Linked DNA regions of Caenorhabditis elegans. The protein of the gene in region 3 purifies or fractionates together with the protein of the main gene of each other region. This does not show direct contact. Each region holds a gene or a part of one and is shown on either strand. Other genes may lie near its edges.

What was found. The genes of interacting proteins can lie anywhere in the genome.
Region 1: the proteins of lars-1 (region 3) and Y55F3AM.13 fractionate together in Caenorhabditis elegans (co-fractionation; one large-scale study listed by BioGRID). This does not show direct contact.
Region 2: the proteins of lars-1 (region 3) and chl-1 fractionate together in Caenorhabditis elegans (co-fractionation; one large-scale study listed by BioGRID). This does not show direct contact.

What each region holds. Positions count from the first base shown.
Region 1 is NC_003282.8:1,054,519-1,058,268, forward strand, and holds Y55F3AM.13 (FH2 domain-containing protein), read right to left. Parts: upstream 1,796-3,750; 5' UTR 1,783-1,795; coding exon 1,654-1,782; intron 1,613-1,653; coding exon 1,027-1,612; intron 963-1,026; coding exon 817-962; intron 770-816; coding exon 566-769; 3' UTR 505-565; downstream 1-504. Other genes in the region: dcap-1 (mRNA-decapping enzyme 1), read right to left, coding at 11-120, 170-268; mrps-25 (Small ribosomal subunit protein mS25), read left to right, coding at 2,387-2,633, 2,683-2,849, 2,898-2,996.
Region 2 is NC_003281.10:10,399,237-10,407,225, forward strand, and holds the start of chl-1 (ATP-dependent DNA helicase chl-1), read right to left. Parts: upstream 6,005-7,989; 5' UTR 6,001-6,004; coding exon 5,663-6,000; intron 5,602-5,662; coding exon 5,499-5,601; intron 5,034-5,498; coding exon 4,920-5,033; intron 4,127-4,919; coding exon 3,601-4,126; intron 2,813-3,600; coding exon 2,502-2,812; intron 2,195-2,501; coding exon 1,983-2,194; intron 1,577-1,982; coding exon 1,171-1,576; intron 1,014-1,170; coding exon 792-1,013; intron 319-791; coding exon 58-318; 3' UTR 1-57. Other genes in the region: hat-1 (Histone acetyltransferase type B catalytic subunit), read right to left, coding at 6,599-7,271, 7,351-7,410, 7,458-7,878, 7,924-7,989. UniProt on the Caenorhabditis elegans protein: Required for normal cell proliferation and chromosome stability. Plays a role in DNA repair during replication.
Region 3 is NC_003281.10:4,181,048-4,188,707, forward strand, and holds lars-1 (Leucine--tRNA ligase), read right to left. Parts: upstream 5,755-7,660; 5' UTR 5,738-5,754; coding exon 5,625-5,737; intron 5,575-5,624; coding exon 5,103-5,574; intron 4,645-5,102; coding exon 3,559-4,644; intron 3,134-3,558; coding exon 2,222-3,133; intron 1,953-2,221; coding exon 1,323-1,952; intron 1,066-1,322; coding exon 933-1,065; intron 880-932; coding exon 665-879; 3' UTR 502-664; downstream 1-501. Other genes in the region: putative mitochondrial carrier C16C10.1, read right to left, coding at 1-3, 322-385; R74.2 (FIP (Fungus-Induced Protein) Related), read left to right, coding at 7,208-7,267, 7,316-7,660.

The DNA.
Region 1 (3,750 bases), on a different chromosome or scaffold from region 3:
TTCTTCTCACCTAAAATATGGCCGATCAGCTCTCTGATAGACGAAAAATGTTCCTTCGCAATTCGACTGATTCCACTCTTTTCTCGCCGCATCGATATGATAAATCGCGGCAAATGGCATCTACAAAACCAATTTTTAGCTTTAAAATCCACAATTCTCTATGTTAAACCTTGTCGAGAATCTTGCTGGCGGCGATGTCGATTTTCTGGAGTTGTGCGAGGTTTTTCGCGGCTAGCTCGGCGGCGGCCTTTTTTTTAGCGTCGCTCATACTGGTTCCTGGATGAAAATGTTGAGTTTTCGATGAAAAATGATGAGAAAAGTGCAAAAAATCTGCGGAAATCGGTGAAAATCGCGAAAAAAACAAAGAAAGACAGAATTTAAATTGAAATTCTATGGTGTAGATTTACGGTAAACAGGGCGCGCTGCGGGATTTTGGAGTATCGTTGTAATTGTAAACTGAATTTTTAAAGCAAAAAATTTGTTTCTTAAACGAAAAAATCAGATAAAAATGCAAAATAATTCATTTAAACCGAGAAAATCAAATAAAAACATCAATAAATCAAATCTAAACAATCAAAGCGTCAATCTTCTTAGCCCACAACTCCACATTGTTCGGAAGGTGCTCCCCAAGGTTCAGAAGGCTTCTGAACACAATATCAGCGACACACACCTCCCATTGAGAGCTTAACGAGTCGAAACGAGCCAGGAACTGAGAAGCTTCACGTGTGACAAAGCTCTGATCACAGGAGCCGGCAAGGATTTGCTCGGCCTGAAAGAAAATTTGATTTTTTTGGGAAAGTTTCTAAAATTTCCTACTTTTCCCAGCCAAATCGCTTGATGACTGGCGCTGAGCACTTGTTGTGGCCGTCTAGAGAAGAGCCCGAGTGAAGAGCCCAACAGCTTCCAGATAGTTTGAAGGGATTTGACGGTAGTTTTTTCCAATTGCAGGGAGGGAGCAGGGCCTGAAAATATTGAAAATTAAGGGTATATCATAAAATTCTGATTTTTAGAGAAAAAATCCCGCACCTTTCACAACTTTCAGACTGGATTTCTTCTCTTTCGTCTGATTTTTGACTTCTCCCTCAAACGAGACTCCACGGCTTGCGCCGACCTTTGCGAGAGCCCGAGCCCACGGCAAATCCACGTCCCGCACTGTCAGCGTGGCGTTTTTCAGCTGCTCCTGCGGCTCGTAGGCCACAAGGGAGGTTGGGAGATTCACGGTGAGAGTCAGATTGGTCTCCCACGTCTTTCGGTCGTCCTGGACGGTCCATGGAGTCGAATTTACGGTCTTTTTCGCGGATTTCTGTGGTGGAGCCTCTCCGGAAGCCAATTTCTTTACGGCTTCTGCCTTGGCAGCCTTGCGAGCCTCCTTCTTGGCGTCCTTGTCTAGTTTTGCGGGGGCTCCGGGGACTCCGGGAGCTGAAGAGGCTGCTCCAGCGGATTTCTCAGGCTCTTTTGGCGCTTTTTCCGCAGGTTTTTGAGCAGATCTCTCTGCTTTTCCAGCCTCTCCAAGGCTTACCAGCAACTTCTTGAGCTCTTCGGTCTGTGCTTTGAGCTGCTCGATCAGTGAGAGCTGTTTGTGCTCCAAAGCCTTGCGCGGATCGGATTCTACCTGAAATTTCAGTTTTTTTTGAGCCAAAATCCGTCTATTACCTGCACCGCATCAGAAGGCCCGACTCCTCCGAAAGATGGATTATGATACGAACCTACTGGATAGCAGGCGATTTTCGGATGAACCTCAAAATTCGGTGGGAACGTCGGTGTCAGCTTGTACATTGGCATCGCGTGATTTACCCTGGAAAATCCTATTTTATACGAAATCTTGAGATTTTTGAGATTTTCAGAGCAATCGAGAGATTGTAAGATGGAATTTCGAGAATCTAAAATTTTTCAGAAGCGTTAAAGGCACCAAAAAACATGAAATATGCTTGAAAAACTGGGAAAACCATCAAATTTCTGGAAAAAAAATTTAGAGTTTAAAACAACGATGCTCCGAATTAACAAGTGCGTGTTATTTATTTTTAGTGAATTTTTGGTATAAAATCAGCATTTTTACATGATTTATGTAATTTTTGCGGGAAATAGACGAAAAATTACCGGTTTTTACTGAATTTTGATATAAAATAGCTTGAAAACAGCTAAAAAACCCAAAAATCAGAAATAAAAGCAAATGTGGATTTACGATAAAGAAGGCGCACAACGTGATATCGGAGTGTCGTTGGGAGGAAAATTATTTATTTTAATTATATATTTTTTTTCTCATTTTCAAGCGATTTTTTAGCTTTTTCCAGTGGTTTTTTAATTCTATCTTTTGCATAAATTTATCGTAATCTCATATTCAGCGTTTTCCCACGAAATTCCTTCCTTTTTCAGCTCAAAACCAGAAATGCCGTTCATGCACGGGTCCATGCCGCTTCGGCGGACATTCTTCTATCTCCAGCAGGGAAAAGTGAAGCTTCGCGACAACGTCAACGTGTTCTCGATGGGTTTTCATAAAAATCCGACGCCCGAGCAGTCTGGAGCACGAGATTTCGTCTACTGGAACTGGGCGCAGCTTCAATATCACAATCCAAAAGTTCAGCTCGTTAAGCATGCCGATAAAGTTGTGACGCCCTTTGCCAGAGCATATCTGAGTAAGTTTCAAGCTGAAAATCCACAAAATTCTACTAAAAAATGTTTCAGACGACGGCCGGGAAGTGCTATTCGACTTGGACGGCATGAAGCGCGAGGAAATCGAGAAATTATTGGCGAAAACGCTAGGAAAAACGGAATTAGTGGAGCGAAGAGAGCATTTGGAGAGTATTGCCAAGCTTAATCCCGCCGATTTCGGATCCAAAAATGAGCGACAGGTCTGAAAATTGCGCGAAAAATCGGCAAAAAATCGTTCATTTTTTCAGTGTATGTGCGAAGTTCAAGGCCAACATCCGTGCACGGGACTCCTGCGAGCACCGCAATGTGTCACCGGAAAATATCGATGGAATCATAATCTCATCTAATTTATATCGATTGATTTTTGTGTAAATTTCCTATTTCCCCCTATTTCTAGCTAGTTTTTGTGTCGATCTTCCTTGTTTTTTGTTGAAAAAACGATTTTTTTTTTCAGTTTTACAATCTTTTTGCCGCAATATTCACGACGAGAAGGTTCGAAGAAGTATAATCATGCCTGGGTTTCAAAAATTCTATATTTTGGGCCTAAATCGTCATGATTTGGCCTGAAATCGGCTCTAAAGTCTACAGTAACCCGATAAATTTCGCTGTGAGACCCAAGAAAGACATATTTTTGAAATCAGCGTGTCAAGCCAGTTTGAATGAGTTTACTCAAGCATAGGTTTTAAAATTTTTAAAATTTGAACGAAAATTGAACGACTTTGGCCTAAATTTAGCCTTTAAATCTACAGTAACCCAGCCAATTTCGCTGCGAGACCCATGAAACTTATATTTTTGAAATCAGCGTGGCAAGCCGGTTTGAATAAGTATAATCATGACTATTTTCGAAGAAACTTCTTTTCTTTCGAAAATTTCGTGACGAGACCCAAAATTTTTTTTTGAAAAATTAATATAACCGATAATATATGATTTATATGTGTATTAAATTACAATTATTTTGACCAGAAATCAATGTGTATACGGGGAACAACAACTTTTTTGACGAGAATTTTTTCAGGGATGGGGCAAGTTTGAAGGGACATAGGGCGGGAGTTACTGTAGGGCAAGGAAAATTTTTTAAATCGGGAGGAAAGGTGGGATAAA
Region 2 (7,989 bases), 6.2 Mb from region 3:
TTTAGAGCAACCGGGCAAAATAAAAAACACCAAAAAAATGAAGAAAAAATATTCTAATTATTTCTTAGAATTCGCTTCAAAAAAGCTCCTCGTCTTTCGAATAATCTCGCCAAATCCCAACTTGACTTGAGTGCGATCTCCAATCCACGTGGACAACTTTCTCCGAGTGGACTCCTTTGCGTAGCGGTCGTCGAAGAGATAGACGGCCGCGTAGTCTCGGCGGTGACGGATTGCTCGACCGATGGCTTGATTCACGGCGTGCATGCATAGAGATTCGTAGAGCAGGTTTCCACCGTTCGGCATTTGAGTGTCGAGGAACTGAAAAAAACATTTTGAAATTTTGAGTTATTGGGGGGAGGGTGGCCCTTTTGTGTTCTTGCGTGGTGGCCTAGGATCCGAGTAAAGTGTGGCCTACAATTTCCAAGGATTTAGCTCAATAGGTGGCCTAGAATTTGATTCACGTGATGGCCTAGATTCTGATTTCGTGGTCTAGAACTGTAGTCATTTGATGGCCTATGATTTGAGTGAAGTAGTGGCCTAGAGTTATAGTGATATGGTGGCCTAGAAATTCTGTAATGGGGTGGTCTAGAATTTCTTAATCTAGTGGGTGGCCTCGATATATAGTAATGGGTGGCCTAAAATTATAGTGATATGGTGGCCTAGAATTTAAAAATCAACTGGTGGTCTAAAATTCGCTGACCAAGGATTCCTGTAAATTGGTCTAGGATTTCCATTTTAGAAAAATTACGCTAAATCTGCTTTTCCATATTTTTAGAGTCCATCACTATTACCTTCATCCGTTCCCTCAACTCGACGCTGGTCTTATTCGGATACGGTAATCCGATAACAATGACCGCCCGTCCGAGCTCATCACAAAAATTTATTCCCTCGCTCATTTTACCGCCGACGACAGCAAATAGAATGGCTCCTTTCGATGTTTTTGCAGCTCGGCTGAATCGGTCCCAGACGTCTGATGTTGGTTGCCGGCTTTCTGTGAATACGGCCTTCTTTTCCTGAAAAAAAACAAAGACAATGCAAATGTGCTCTAGCGTACTTTTTGGATATTTATTGAGATTTGATGCAAAATTTGAATTTTTTCTTATTTTCGTTTTAACAAAAATATATTATTCTACGGTAAAATCCCAGGAAGGGTCTCGAAACGAAAACTACCTCGATCCGCTTCAAAATCCCAAATTCCTTCATCTTTTTCTGGAAATTGAACAAAAAGTCGTATGACGGCACAAAGATCACAACTCCATTCGGAATATGCGGAATCAGGGCCTGAATTGACGTGGCCAACGATCTCAACGTGGTATCGGCGCCACGTGTCTGATATGTGAGTTGGAATGGTTTTCCGTCGACAGTTCGTTCTACGGTTACCGCGAGCAGCTGGGAATCATCAATGACGTGGCAACACGAAAAACGACGGATTGAGTCGGCGCCGATCGATCCACGGGATAGGGTCTCCACGAGAAGCTGAGCTGGCTCCATTGTGCCACCGACGAGGATTGTGGCTCGGGCGGAAGTGACCACTTCGGAAAGACGATCCGCCGGATTTAGGAGCATGAATCGGAATCTGGAAGTTGAAAAGTTTTCGGATTTTCTGGAAAAAAAAATCGGTGGCCGAATTTTACTCAAATAAAATTAGCTGGCCGAACTTTCAGTATTAAAAAGCAGTGGCCGAGTTCTGCCCGAATAAAACTAGTGGCCTAGTTTTCACATTTTGGTAACGGAGTCAGTGGCCGAACTTTTCCTATTCTGAAAAAATTGGTGGCCGAAGTTTACTCAACATAAATATGCTTGCCTAGTTTTTTATGAGAAAAACTATTGATGACCGATTTTTCCAATGTGAGAAAAATAGTCTCAATAAATATCAGCACACTTTTGCGGGGAAGTCGATTTTCAAAAAAAAAAAGCAAAACCCAAAACTCGGCCACCGATTTGTTTTTCACGGTCACGTTCAAAAATCGTTGCTATCATACTTTGCTTCGGTGGCCGACTTTTCCACAATAATTCGGCCATCTTCGCATTTGTTGGTTAATGCGTCGATGAACGATTTCAGCGAAAAAAGTGGAGAAGGAACGGGTTTTGGCGGTGGAAGAGGCTCAGCTTCTGGCTCAGGCTCCGCTTCTTTTGCAGCCATGAGTTTCTGGATTCCGGTTAGTTTTGGCTTCTCATTTTCTTTCTTGATTTCCTGGAAAAGTTATTGGATTCTAGGTTTTAGGCTTCGGAATTTTCACGGTAAATCAATTTTTCCTGGATCTTCATTTTCAATTTTAATGGCTTTTTTTGAATACTTTTTAGAAAAAAATTATTGTAATACTTTAAAAAAATGATAGGTAATTCAAATTTTTATGAAAAAATTGATATTTTTCGTAAAAAATGAAAATTTCAGTTTGAATTTATGATACGTTTTAATTTTTTTTGAAAATTTGTTTCTGTTTCTGAGGTATTTTTCTTAATTTTTTAAAGTGAATTTTTCGATTTTTGGAATTAATTACTTCTTTCTGTAATCTCATGTAAAATCCATGAAATTTCTTGCACAAATCCGTCTTCTCCATATATTCGGCCAATTTGAACAGATTAATTTCTAGAATATTCAAATTTCGTGCCAACTGAGCCATCGTCATCACATCTTCTTTTGATTGGCTATTTAAGAAAATGAGCATTTTGCTGGTGAGTGATTCCAGTTGTTTCATGTAAAGTAGGTTATGAGCCAGAAGCTTCAGCTTGTAGTGAGCATTGTATTCTCGAATTAGACGCAGTGCGAGGGTTAGGGATTTCGTGGAAATTTCAGCAGAGTAGAGGGAACCTGAAAAAAATTCCTTTAAAATTGGAAATTTCCGGGAGGTTTTTTTTTTAAAAAAAAGGTTTGGAAATTTTTTTAAAGTGATTTTCAGGGAATTATTTAGGAAACAATTTAATTGAAAAATAACGATTTTTTAAATTGGAAAATAGTTTTTTCAGTGATTTTTAGAAATTTTTGTATATTGAAAAATTGTTTTTTTTTTGAAAATTTTTTGAATAAAATTAGCGATTTTCTGAAAAAAAAATATTTTGAAAATTGTGATTTTTTGAATTTTTTAAATTGAAAAATGTGCTTTTTTGAAATAAAATTTTTTTTTATTGAAAAGCAGATTTTTTTTTCGTTTTTTTTTTTTTGAAAAAAAAAAGAAAAATAGTGATTTCCGTATTTTTAAAAACTAAAAATTGAAATTATTCGTTTTTTGGAATAAATAAGGATTTTATTTCAATGTTTTTGAAATTTTTTTTGAAAAAAAAAACGTTTTTCAAGTCGAGTTCTGTAAAAAAAGTTAAATTTGAAAAAGATTTAATTCATTTAAAAAATTAATGAAAAACATTTATTTTTAGTTGAAAAGTAGAGTTTTTTGAATTTTTTTGAAATTTTTTGAACAAAAAACATTAAATGAAAAACTGTGATTTTTGTAAACATATAATTAAAAAATATGAAGAAAAAATTTTTGGAAGAAAATTGAAAAAAATTAAATTTTGATTATTTTTAAATTTGAAAAAAATTATTCTAACAATTTTTGAAGCCATTTTTCGAAACTTTTTCCAATTTCCGAAAAAAAAACGAACTAATAGTATTCAACACATTATGTGCCTCGTCGAGTACAATAACATTATCCTTTAATTCAATTCCCCATGCTTTTCGTGTTCCATCATGAAGCAAAACTTGATATGGAAGAAGAACAAGTTGACACTGTGGAACAGATTTTCTTGTAGCAAAATATGGGCATCCATTGGAAAGTTTTCCCTGTTTTGACACTTCAAGTGTACTTTTCAATTTGTTCGAGAGGACTCCATTCACTACATCTTCGATTTGTGTGGAATTGTAGAATTCGCATGAAGTCGCACAGGTTTTTGTCTTTTTCGTGGTTCCTTTCTCCAATTTCTGAACTTTTTCCTTTTCCGACATTCCGTTTTTTCGCAATTCCATACATTTTTCATTGATTAAATGATTTAATTTCAACTTTTTGACTTCTTCATTTACACATAATGTTCCTCGTGAGGCACATGTAACTATTCTGGGTTGAAATCTAGTTTTTGCGAGCTCCTCGGCAAGTTGCTCCAATTGAGAATGTGTTCGTGATGCGTAGAAAATCTGGAAAATTCAGAAAATTTCAAGACAGTTTGAATAAAAAATTATTGATTTTTCAGTTTTCAATTAAAAAAATTTTAATGCAGTTTTGAAAATTTACAAAAAAACCAAATTTTCATTTAAAAAAATTTGTTCGGTAAATTGAAAATTCTCCGACTTAATTTCGATTATTTTTTTCAGACAACTTTCATTAAAAAAAAAAAAGACGTATTACGGTAACACGAAACTCTGAGAATGCGTATTGGGCAACATATTTGACGCGCAAAATATCTCAAAGCGAAAACTACAGTAATCCTCTAAATTGCTGTTGTAGCTCCTGTGTCGATTTACAAAAACCTTTTATTTATTGATTTTTAAAAACGAAAAATTAAAGAAAATTGAGAGCCGTTGTAACTTTTTGAAAAGAAATTAATTTCAAAAATATTGCCCGTAAATCGACACAAGCGCTACAGTAGTCATCCAAAGGATTACTGTAGTTTTCGCGTCGGAATATTTTGCGCGTCAAATATGTTGCCCAATACGCATTCTAAGAATTTTTTGTTCCTGTAATAATATGACAGCTATATGCGACTTTTGAGATGAAAGTGCAATCGCGCTCCATAGCCAAATAAAAAATAAAAACGCTCTGCCCCCGAAACATGGGTCTCGTTAGGTATTGGCGGTAAAACCCAAGATTTTCCAATTTTTAATGATATACAGTTACTGTCACAAAAATGCTTGAAAAAGTTTGAATTGCACTTTCATTTGGCTATGGAGCGCGATTGCACTTTCCGAAATATTGAAATAAATTCTGTACTTTCAGACATTTCAGTGGCTTCTCCTCTTCTTCATCGACATCATCGAAAAAATCGGAATCCCGCTGTTTCTCACTTTTCTCGTCGTTATTGTATTCTTCCGATGGGGCGGCTTCCTGGAAATTTTATTTTGAATTTTGATATTTCTGTATTATTTCTATAATAGAAACTTCTAGAATAACATTTTCTTGAAAACCTGGCATATTCAATTTATGAAACTTCAAATTTGTAGCGACTACTGTGGCTGGGATCGTGGCGAGACCCACTCAGAAAACAGCGTGCGCCTTTAAAGTGAGGCATCAAGTGTCTATTCTATGTATTACTATGTAACTATTCTATTGTGTATCTATTCATATTGTGGAATCTATTCTATATCTATCTTGCTATATAATACTGTTAACATTTTTTCACATTTCTCAAAAAATTAGCAATACTGAAGGTTTGTATTTAAAAATTTGGAATTTTTGCGTATTTCAAGGTTTTTCCAGAAAAAAAAAGCCAGGTTCTAGTCAGAAATCTTGAAATTTTCCGAAAAAACGGTCAGCCACATGTGAATTTCCGGATAAAAGTTCAATTATTACATCTTGAGGTTCGAGAAACTGATCCGTATCCCTGGCCGGGGCTTTTCTCTTTCTGGAGACCTCGACCATTCCTCGCCGGGCTTGATCGATTCGTGACTGCAATCTGAATGATTTTTTTCATTTAAAAAAAAATTAAAAAAGAATAATTATTCAATTTCCAACACCTTTCCCGACTCTGAATTTGCTCCAAAATCTCCGTCTCTACGTCTTGAGCTCGCATTTTCTCACGAACTGCCGTCTCCCAATTGTCGGCGGTGGTGATTTTATCGCATTCCGTGATTTTCGTGTGAACCTCCCCGAGCCGTGTGCTCAAATCAGTCGAAATTCGTAGTTCTTCAGCTTCCAGCCACGTCATCGTCGAGCACAACACGCTGAGCGACTTTCCGGTGCCTGTTGGAGATTCGAAAATGCCAATTTTCCGTTGTTCAATGCATTGGCGGATTTCTCGCATCAAATTGAGTTGAATGTCGTATGGTTGAAATGGAAATGAGAATTCGTCCATTCTGCTGGGATAGAGTGAGAGATCATTTATTTCGGTGAGTTTTTTTTTTGTAATTGAAGAATAATATATAAGAAGATAAAAATATATTCGGGATTTTCAACTGGGAATTCGATTTTTAGCTGAGAGTTTAGAGAGCGGAAAAATTCATGAAACATTCACAATAAGTCAAATAGGACCCAAAGCGATTTTCACGCCAAAAATACGGTGCCTGGTCTCGCAACGAAACATGTTTGTTAAACGCGAAAATTTGTGCGCCTTTAAAGAGTACTGTAGCTTCAAACTTTTGCTATTGCGGATTTTCGTCGATTTTTCGTAGATCACAATCAAAACCCAAAAAAACTTTAACAAATGCTGGGAAAAACTATGAAAACCTGATAAAAATCGTTAAAGGCGCACACTTTTTCGCATTTATCATACATTTTTCTCTTCGAGACCGGATACCGTACTTTTGGCGCAAAATTTCGCGTATGGGTAATAACGGCAAGGGAATTTTGCAAATTTACAGCAAATTTAGACGAATTTCGTGGTAATTAGCTTTAAAAAAAATACAAAAATCCCACATGTAATTTCAAATTAAAATAAGATACAGATACAACGATTAAAAAATGCTTGGATGCTGCTCAATTCGATCAATAGTTTTTTGATAGGCCTCCATAAGCCGATCATAATTCTGTGAGAGCGTCGAGAACTTGGTTTCCTCATCCATTTGTCCACAGGCCGCTTGTCGAAGCTCATCGGGTGTCAACGCGAGATTCAGACGCTTCCAGTCCTGATCCGATTTCTTCATTGGTGCATACAACCGACGTTTCACATCGATTCTCTGCGCTTTCAGCTCTTCTTTATCCTTCTTATTTGTAGCACGATAACGCAAAATTTCATAGACTCGACGGGCTTGTTGTCTGGAAATCTTGAGCTTTTCCAGTGCGGCCTGACGCATTTTGTCCGAGTATCCCCTCTTGAGATTCTCCGGTGCAAATTCCCGCAGTGTCATGCAGTTGACACAATCCACATAGTCACGGAGGCTGACGAACTGATCTCCGGGAGACTCGACGGTTACGTCGAAAACTTCTGGAGAGGCACGAAGATCTCGCAGGAAAGATTCCATGAAACTGGCTCCAATTCCAGATTTTCTGTATTGAGGGAGCAATAGCATCTGTGCAATTCGTGGACGGATCCTGTCAATGTAGTTGTAGAATTTGAAGAGTGTCGCGTAGCCAGCCACGTTGGCCACAGTACTTCCATCTCCTTCACCGGTGTCGCAGCGTTCGTAGCTGGAAAATTGAAAAATATTTGAAATGCGTTCGATTTTTTGTAATTTCTGGAATTCGCCGCGAAATCTTCTCAACTTACATAAAATAGTGAAGCCAATTGTCTTCAGTGTTATCTGTCAGTGAGCAGCACTCGATGAAGCTGAAAAAAAAATTTTGTAGGAAAATCCTTATTTTTTAAGCACTCACAACATGCCGAGAGTCTGGATTCTTTCTAGGAAAAGGTTGAACTCTTCGGTTTGCTCGGCGACTTTGTAGACCTCGTAGCTCTTTCCTTTCAGCTCAAACTTGTGTACCATCTCACCGAAAGGCTTGAAATCCTTCTGTTTGATGAGCTTCTGCTGGAATTCTTCTTTTCCCGAAACCAGAACATTCGGACGAACGTCTGGATGAACCAGCTTATCAATGACGTCATCGGCCTCCAGTCCGTTTTCGTTTTTCGCTTTTGAGGAATAGCTCACGTTTATGTAGCTGTAGAGGGTTTGAGCTGTGTGATGGATGGTAACCTCGAGATCTTCGTAGCCGAAGATTGTCTCCTCATCTCCGAAATGCTGATAGACCATCTCTGGTTCGTAGCGTGGCGCAGTACTGATTTCTTGCATGTTTTTTACTGAAAAATGGGAACTTTCAAGCGAAAATTCGGTTAAACTCTTACAAAATGTCATTTTAACGACAGCAAGTCCGTCGGAAATGTATCTCCGATTGCGATTGACATTCGTGA
Region 3 (7,660 bases):
TCGCTGAAAAGATTTTTGTTCGTTATATTTTATTCCAGATATTTTCTTCGAAAAATTTAGTTTTTTAACGCAAAAGTATAGTAATTTATTTTTGTTTTTGTTTGTACACGATCGAAATATTTTCAAATGAGGTACTGTAGCCTCACTCCTTCCAGATTTTGATGTCACATGAATAATAATTAGTAGACTTTAAAATCTCGAGAAAACAATGTGTTACCCACTTTTCATTTGGAAGTAATTCGATCGTGTCGAGACCCGATACCATAATTTTGCGATAAAAATCCCATATTTTCCCGAATGAGTAATAATCAAAATATTCACCACAAGACGAGGAAGGTGCTCCGGAGCAATTTGTCGTTTTACCGCTTTCACATGGTGACGGCATCTGTTACTGGAAATACGGAAACTTCCGATAAAAAATAGAAAATCACATTTAAAATATTAGGTTTGAAATACTTAGATAACAAATCACAGTTTTCAAAAATCTAGTATAATAACAAAAAAACCTTTTCATTCAACTTGGAAACAGGGAGAAAACAGTGAAAGCTGAAATAGGGATTCGGGTACGTATAAATTATGAAAATGAATAGAAACAACAAAACTCAAAAAGTGGGGATATAATATTATTAGAAACAAGAAGAACAAATAATTTTTTAGAAAGAATCTAGTTTTCTGGGACGTTAGCCTTGTACACAATAGTACGCCCAAGATCGAACTTTTCACTTCCAGAAGTCACAGAAATCTTGTTATCAGCCTCGAAATTGAAAATGTCTGCGTCGGACAATTGAATGTTCTCCTCGAATGGATTTCTGTACGAAATCATCTGTCGATCTCCCCAAACCGCGTTCTTGTATCTCCAGAGGCTCACTTCGAATTTCGCTGAAAATATAATAAATTGAATTTATTGTTTTCGGAATAGGGTTTTCTCATACGTTTGATTGCCTTGCTGATGCGTCTCATCTTCCGAATAACCATTGAAACACTGTCTCCATTAACAATTGGTACATCAACATCGAACATTGCATTGCAGATTTGAACATTTCTGGCGACAAGTTTGATTGTTGGCTGAAAATAATTATGATGTCATTATTATTGGTACGCAGAAAAATTCCCCTCTTGAAATTGATATGGAAATGCGCTCCACTGCCGATTGACAACGCCCCGCCTCCTACAGTTGGGTCTCGTAAGGTATTTGGCGTGCTTGAAAACTGCAGAGACGAATTTAAAATGTTTGAATTTACGGTTTTGCCGCCAAATACCTAACGAGACCCATGGTTAGAAGGCGGAGCATGTTCCCATGCCCCTATAATATGTTTCCTTACTCTATTCGGCGTGAAATTCAACATTGGCACCAGCGGTACTGTAGTCTCAACAATATTCGCATCAATTCCCTCCTCATCAGTATGTCGAATAGTAACACGATCCAAATCCAAAGCGTTCATAATAAAATCAATATTCTCGTTGAGAATTGAAGTTTGATCAACTGGACTAGAAGAAGCCAATGCTGAAACACCCTTCTGTTCGAATCTTTCCTTGATCATTTGAACGAATGGCATCGCTTTTTTGGCGAATTTCTTGAGTGATTCTTCTTTTCCAATGAGCTGACTGATTGCTTTATTATCTGGAAGTGCTCCATTATTAGCCTTGGCTTGTTTCTCAAGAATATCAAGAATAGTCTTCTGCCATGGTGGATATTCTTTAGCAACATAGATCACTGCTTCAGTTGGAACTTCTGGAATCTCCTTCAGTGCCTTCTTCTTTGGAGTCATGTAGGTTTTCAGTCGGGCACGGAATTCGGCCAGCGATTCCGTGATGAAACGAGCACCAATGGCGAGCTTCTCATCGACAGGATCGACAGTTGGCCATGGAGCATTTACAATCAAGCCGTCTTTTCCGAGCAATTGCCAGATGTATTCAGCAATATGTGGGCAGATTGGTGATAGGATGAGCATCTAAAATAAAAAACAAATTAAACTTTTAAAGGTGTCGTCTGGCGTTTTTTTTTTGCCCCAAATGACAGAAATCAGTCTTAATCGAACGAAAATAGATTTTAAGAAATTTATAGAAATTTCCTAAACTTTTTTAATATACGGCAATACTGATTTGTTTTTTTTCTCGTTTTTCTAGAATTTTTGTTGCAGAATTTGAAACAATTCTTTCAATTTTTACACTAATAATCGGTATCTGTCATCTTGAGAAAAAAATCTTTCTGAAAATATACCTGAGTTTCAATGAATCTAAAGACAAGCGATTCGCTCATTGGCTCATCAATTCCAGCGCAAAGTTCTCTGTATGTATCTCTAATGGCTTGATATTCGAAGAATCCAGTTTTCAGTGCATCCTTGAAGTTGGTAGCTTCATAATTTTGTTCTGTGGCAGCGATCAGTGAATTCATTTCATTTGCAAAAACTCGATCAGCGAATTTCTTTGCATCTTTTCGGAGAAGTCCGGCATCCCGTTGTTCAATCATTTCCTTGATCCATTCGATCATAGTGAATAGTCTCAGAATAGCTGCATCTGCCATTGCGTACACAAAGTTAGCATCTTCCAAACCATCCCCAGCATCGGCAAGACTCAATCTCATACCATCTGCGCTGAACTTTTCGATGGCTTCTTCCAATGTCATAAAGTTTCCAGTGGATTTCGACATTTTCTCATTGTTCAAGAGCAAATGTCCATTGGCCCGAATTCCTTTTGGCCATTTTGAAGTGTCTGTTGGCCAGATTGCAGCATGATTGAACAGAAGATATGTCAAATGATTTCCGATAAGATCTTTTCCAGATGCTCTCATATCAATTGGATACCAATACATGAATTCTTTCCTCAATGATTTAAGCTTTTCCTCCTCAACCGGCATGGTTTTCGAATCGTAAATTTCTCCGAGGAATACATAACTCCACGAAGCATCTGTCATCTGATCAGCTTTAATTCCAGCAGGTCCGACGACTGATCCATCAAAAGCTCCCTGTTGGAGAAGATGAGCAACTGTATAATAAGCATTGTAGATTGTAGAGTCTGACAGAGATTCGATGAGGTATTGAGTATCCCATGGAAGTTTGGTTCCAAGACCGTAACTTCTGGAGCAAGCATACTCGTGGAGCCAATCGACTGTGGTTTCCAATCCACGGCGGGTCTGAAAATTTTAATTCAGCGGAATAAGAATATACTACATAGACATCTAAAAATGAGAATTTTCGACATATCTTACGCGCAGAGGACGCAGGCAACGAATTACTGTAACTTCTGTTGTCTAATGGGCCGTTATTGCGTCATATTCTTTAAATTAAACTCCAATTTCAACAAAAAGGGTTTTAAAAAAATCGTCCGTAGAGTTGGAGTAATTTGTAAACTATGATATTCTTTGAACAAATTTTTTCGATTTTTAGATAAAATTGTGGTTTTATTTAGAGAATATGCTGCAATAAAAAACCCTTTGATCGGCAAGTTACAGTAACTCGTTGTCTGCGTGGCAAGACCTCTGCGCGTAAGAGATGGCGAAGATTCTTATTTTTAGACGTCTACATAATATTTTTTCAAAAATAATTTAAAAAAATATACCTCATCATTGAAAGTTCTGAGTGGCTCAAGAACCTTCTTTGCAGCAGCCTTCCATTCAGCCTCTCCATAATTCAAATACCATTGATCACACAACGCAACGACGCACTCATCTCCAGATCTGCTCATCACCTTCTTCTCAGGCTCCACATATTTCGTGGCAAGACCTTCAGCTGTCAAATCATCTTGAATAACTTTCTTGACGTCGGCTGTCTTCTTTCCAGCATACTTTCCGACGAGCATAACTCCATCGTAGAATCCTTTCAAATAAACTTCTTTCTTCGCCTCTTCCAGTTTGTCCTTCTCATTTTGAGACTCAATTTTCAGCCTTGAGCACATTTCAACTGCAGCCAAATCCCCAAGTCCTTCGATTTTAATAATTGGAACTGGTTCGAATGGAAGAACCATCTCATCAGTCAATCCATATTTTTCTCTCAATGGCTTCTTCTTCTTGAGATCCGACAAAGCTGCAAAATCATCTGGAGAGTCTGATGGTACACTTGTAACAACACCAGTTCCCTTATCATCCTTGATAGTCAACATTGGCAATGCATAAACTCTTTCGTATTTTGCGAGAGGCGCAGAGAGTGGAGCTCCGAGAATCTTGCTTCCAGCGATTTTCTCGAGTCCCAGGACATAGTTGACTTTACCATTTTCCTTAGTCAATCCTTGATATGACATGATTCTAGCAGATCTGGCAGTTGCCACAAATACTTGTTTCTCGTTTTCCGTCGCATAAAACACGGAATATTGAATATCTGGATGGAGATAACAATTCGTTTGTCCGTACATTGTTTCAGGTCTCAAAGTAGCCGCAACGAGATAAATATCCTCTTTGATATGGCTCAAAGCTTGAGGTTTTGGATCAAGAACTTTCAGTTTAATAAGAGTATATTCTTGTGGACCAACACCTTCTCCACTGGCACGATCGTGATCCATGCATGGTTGACCGTCTTTCGGTGAATAAATTGTATATCTCTTTCCGAAATCGATCTTCTTAGCTGCACGAAGAAGGTTGAACTGCCAACGGACGAATGAGTCGAAGTATGGATTCACGTCGGTGGTGATGAAGGAACGACGCCAATCAGCCTGAAAAATGGCAATTTTTAATTTAATAATTTCGAAATGTTTCTTTTTTAATTTTGTGATAAGTTAAATTTTTTTGAGAATTATATTATTATTAAAATGGAGAAGCAAAAATGAGGAAGTAAGGCATTTTGTTCCAATATTCATTAAATACAATTCAGGGATATAATATAGAAAAATATTTCATTTATCTGAAAATAGCTTTGATTAAGGTTGAAAAATTGGAAAAGTGCCAAAAAAATCGCCGGTAAAAACCGACCAATTATCGAAATTTTTTTACAGGTTATTTTCAACTTTTAATCACTAAAATAAAAACTATTTTCAGATAAATCAAATGTTTTTTTTCCAAATTCTATCACTAAATTTTAATCAAAAATATTGGAAAAACATAATAATTTAGTACTATTTTTACAGAACTCACTTTCAACACTTTAAGATGATTTCAACACTTTAAATCTTACCTTTAGTCCCATTTTCTTAAGATCAGCAATGCAATGTGGTGGGAAATAATATAGCCAATGATTTGGATCCGAGAATTCCTTAATTTCCTCATCACACAATCCCAGAGACTTCATAATTTGCCATTGGTATTTTGCATTTCCAGTTTTTGCCACCAATTTACTCTTCTTTCCTTTACTCTTATCCTTGATAATCTCATCGACAGCCGAAACTTCTTCTTTAACTTCCTCGACAACATCTTCCGGGAAATTTGGTGGATATCCGAAATCTTGCATTTCTCTTTTCAATTTATCTGCACATGCTTTAATTGGCATTCCAGTACAATGAAATCCGAATGGAAAGAGCACTTCTTTGCCTTGAAGACGTTGGAAACCGGCGGCAAATTCACATTTTGAAGCTGAGAATGTGTGTCCCAAATGAAGACGTCCATTCATGTATGGGAAGGGAAACGTGACGAGGTACTTTGGTTTTCCACTGAAATTTTTTAAATTGAAAATAATTCAAAATTTTCAGAAAAAACTCACTCATCCCTAGCATCCGCCTCGAAAGCCTTCTTGCTCTCCCACAGCTCCTGAATGCTCTTTTCAATTTCTTGAAGTTGAGCAACCTTCTTCCGCTCCTTATTGATTTTCGACATTGTCGATATTTGTTACCCTGATATTTAAAAATAATTAAAACCTTTAAAAAATTCTTTTAAGCAATAGATTACATCAGAAAACACAAAATGATGAAATTTACTTGGTTTCTATTTGAAAAAAATCAATAAGTGATTAGAAAGCAAACAAGTTTGTGGAAAAAAATCGATATTGAGATTTAATTGTCGATAAAAAAGTTCAAATTTTAAAGGGAACAACTTAAAATAGGCCCATTTTCTACCGTTCTAAAAATCCTGCATTATCATGGCCTAGTTTTGCAATGGCATCGACCGCGGCCACGTCAACTTTCCCAACTTTTCATAGGGGTTTCAATCACTCGGAGAAGGCGATAAAATAATACAATATTATAAAAAATGAAGAAAAATGTACTTTTCGAGTTCTCGAACAATAATTTACCAATTTATAGAAATACAATTAGTGATTTTTTCGGAGCAACAACAGAAATTGGATTTTTTCTACAATTATTAGTAATCTATAACAGGCTAAAGGTACATTAAAATAGTTTATAATAAATTTAATTATCTTTAAATTTTTTGGTATATAAAAATTCTACAACTGCTACAACATGAAACATATTGAAAAGGAATTTTTGCAATATTTCATATTCGACTGATTTCAGGAATAGGTCACACTGCACCATATTACTTGGAATTAAATTCGTAAATGCTCCGTTTTGCTCTTAACGAATCAAGTACGGTTTCTACTTTTGAATGGAATTTTGCAAAATATACTTAGTTCATAAAATTATTCCTTTTCCATATCCAATGAAGGCCAATTTATCAAGTTGGACACACACATTGGTCAGATTACAACAAGTGGGATTACACTCAACATCACTTTCTCCTTGCTATAAATACCGGCTGACAGACTTTAATAGTGACTTGAGATAGGTTCTTCGCTGGACGAACTTGACTCGATTTGTATTAATTCATCTAAATTTCTCAAAGCAGAATGTTCCGAAATCTAGATTTTAGTAAAATAGCCATATTTAACTAAATATGTTTCCATAAATCTTCTGAAATTCTCCCAATTTTTAATTGTTTTTTAACCAAAATTTTAATACCAAAAAATTTAAACATCTTCTTAATAGAAGGTACACAATAGATCATATATTTTCATAGTGATACTACTGATTAACCCAGGCAAAACATGATATATCCTAATTCGCAATATACAAAAAAAAACATTCCTTATCTCCGAAAATTTCCAGTTCTAATTTCACTTATTGCGCAACCATGGACGTCCGTCGTCTTCATCACTTTCTCACCTTGTTGTATATCACTACGCAACAAACTTATATAATTTTACCCGATATGCCAAGAACCAGATCTGTTTGAGGCAGATGATGTCCAGCTATTTGAAGGTTTTGTTACACTTCTAGTCAACCCGATTTTGGGAGTATTTAACGACGATGGAGATTGACCGATTTTAACAATCTTACACACTTCTAGATGAGGAGATCTATTATTTTTCTAGCGGCGATTTGTGGGGTCACGTTGGCTGAAAGAAAGGTGAGTTACTTTGGACAATTCGTACCTACGAATATGGATAATTTTTAGGCAAGACAGGATAATGTTGGTGACGATTATTCTGATTTTTCATCTCAACCGGTCAAGAATGCTGGTGCCAACCATAATTTGAAACAAGTAACCTACTCAACAATCGCACCGAAATTCGATATTCCAACTCGTGCACCACTTTTGAACCCAAATCCGATTGGACGCAATCAGAATCCCGTTCAAACTACCACAAAGAGGCCAGTTGTCGCCTATAGAAGAGGGTATTTCTTCCAGCATTACCCATGGGATAGGCTTCCAAGAAGATATCTTCTTCGTCCAGGAATGACATATGTATATCCACCACAGTACACATTCGCAACCTACCGTTATCCACATCTGCCATAC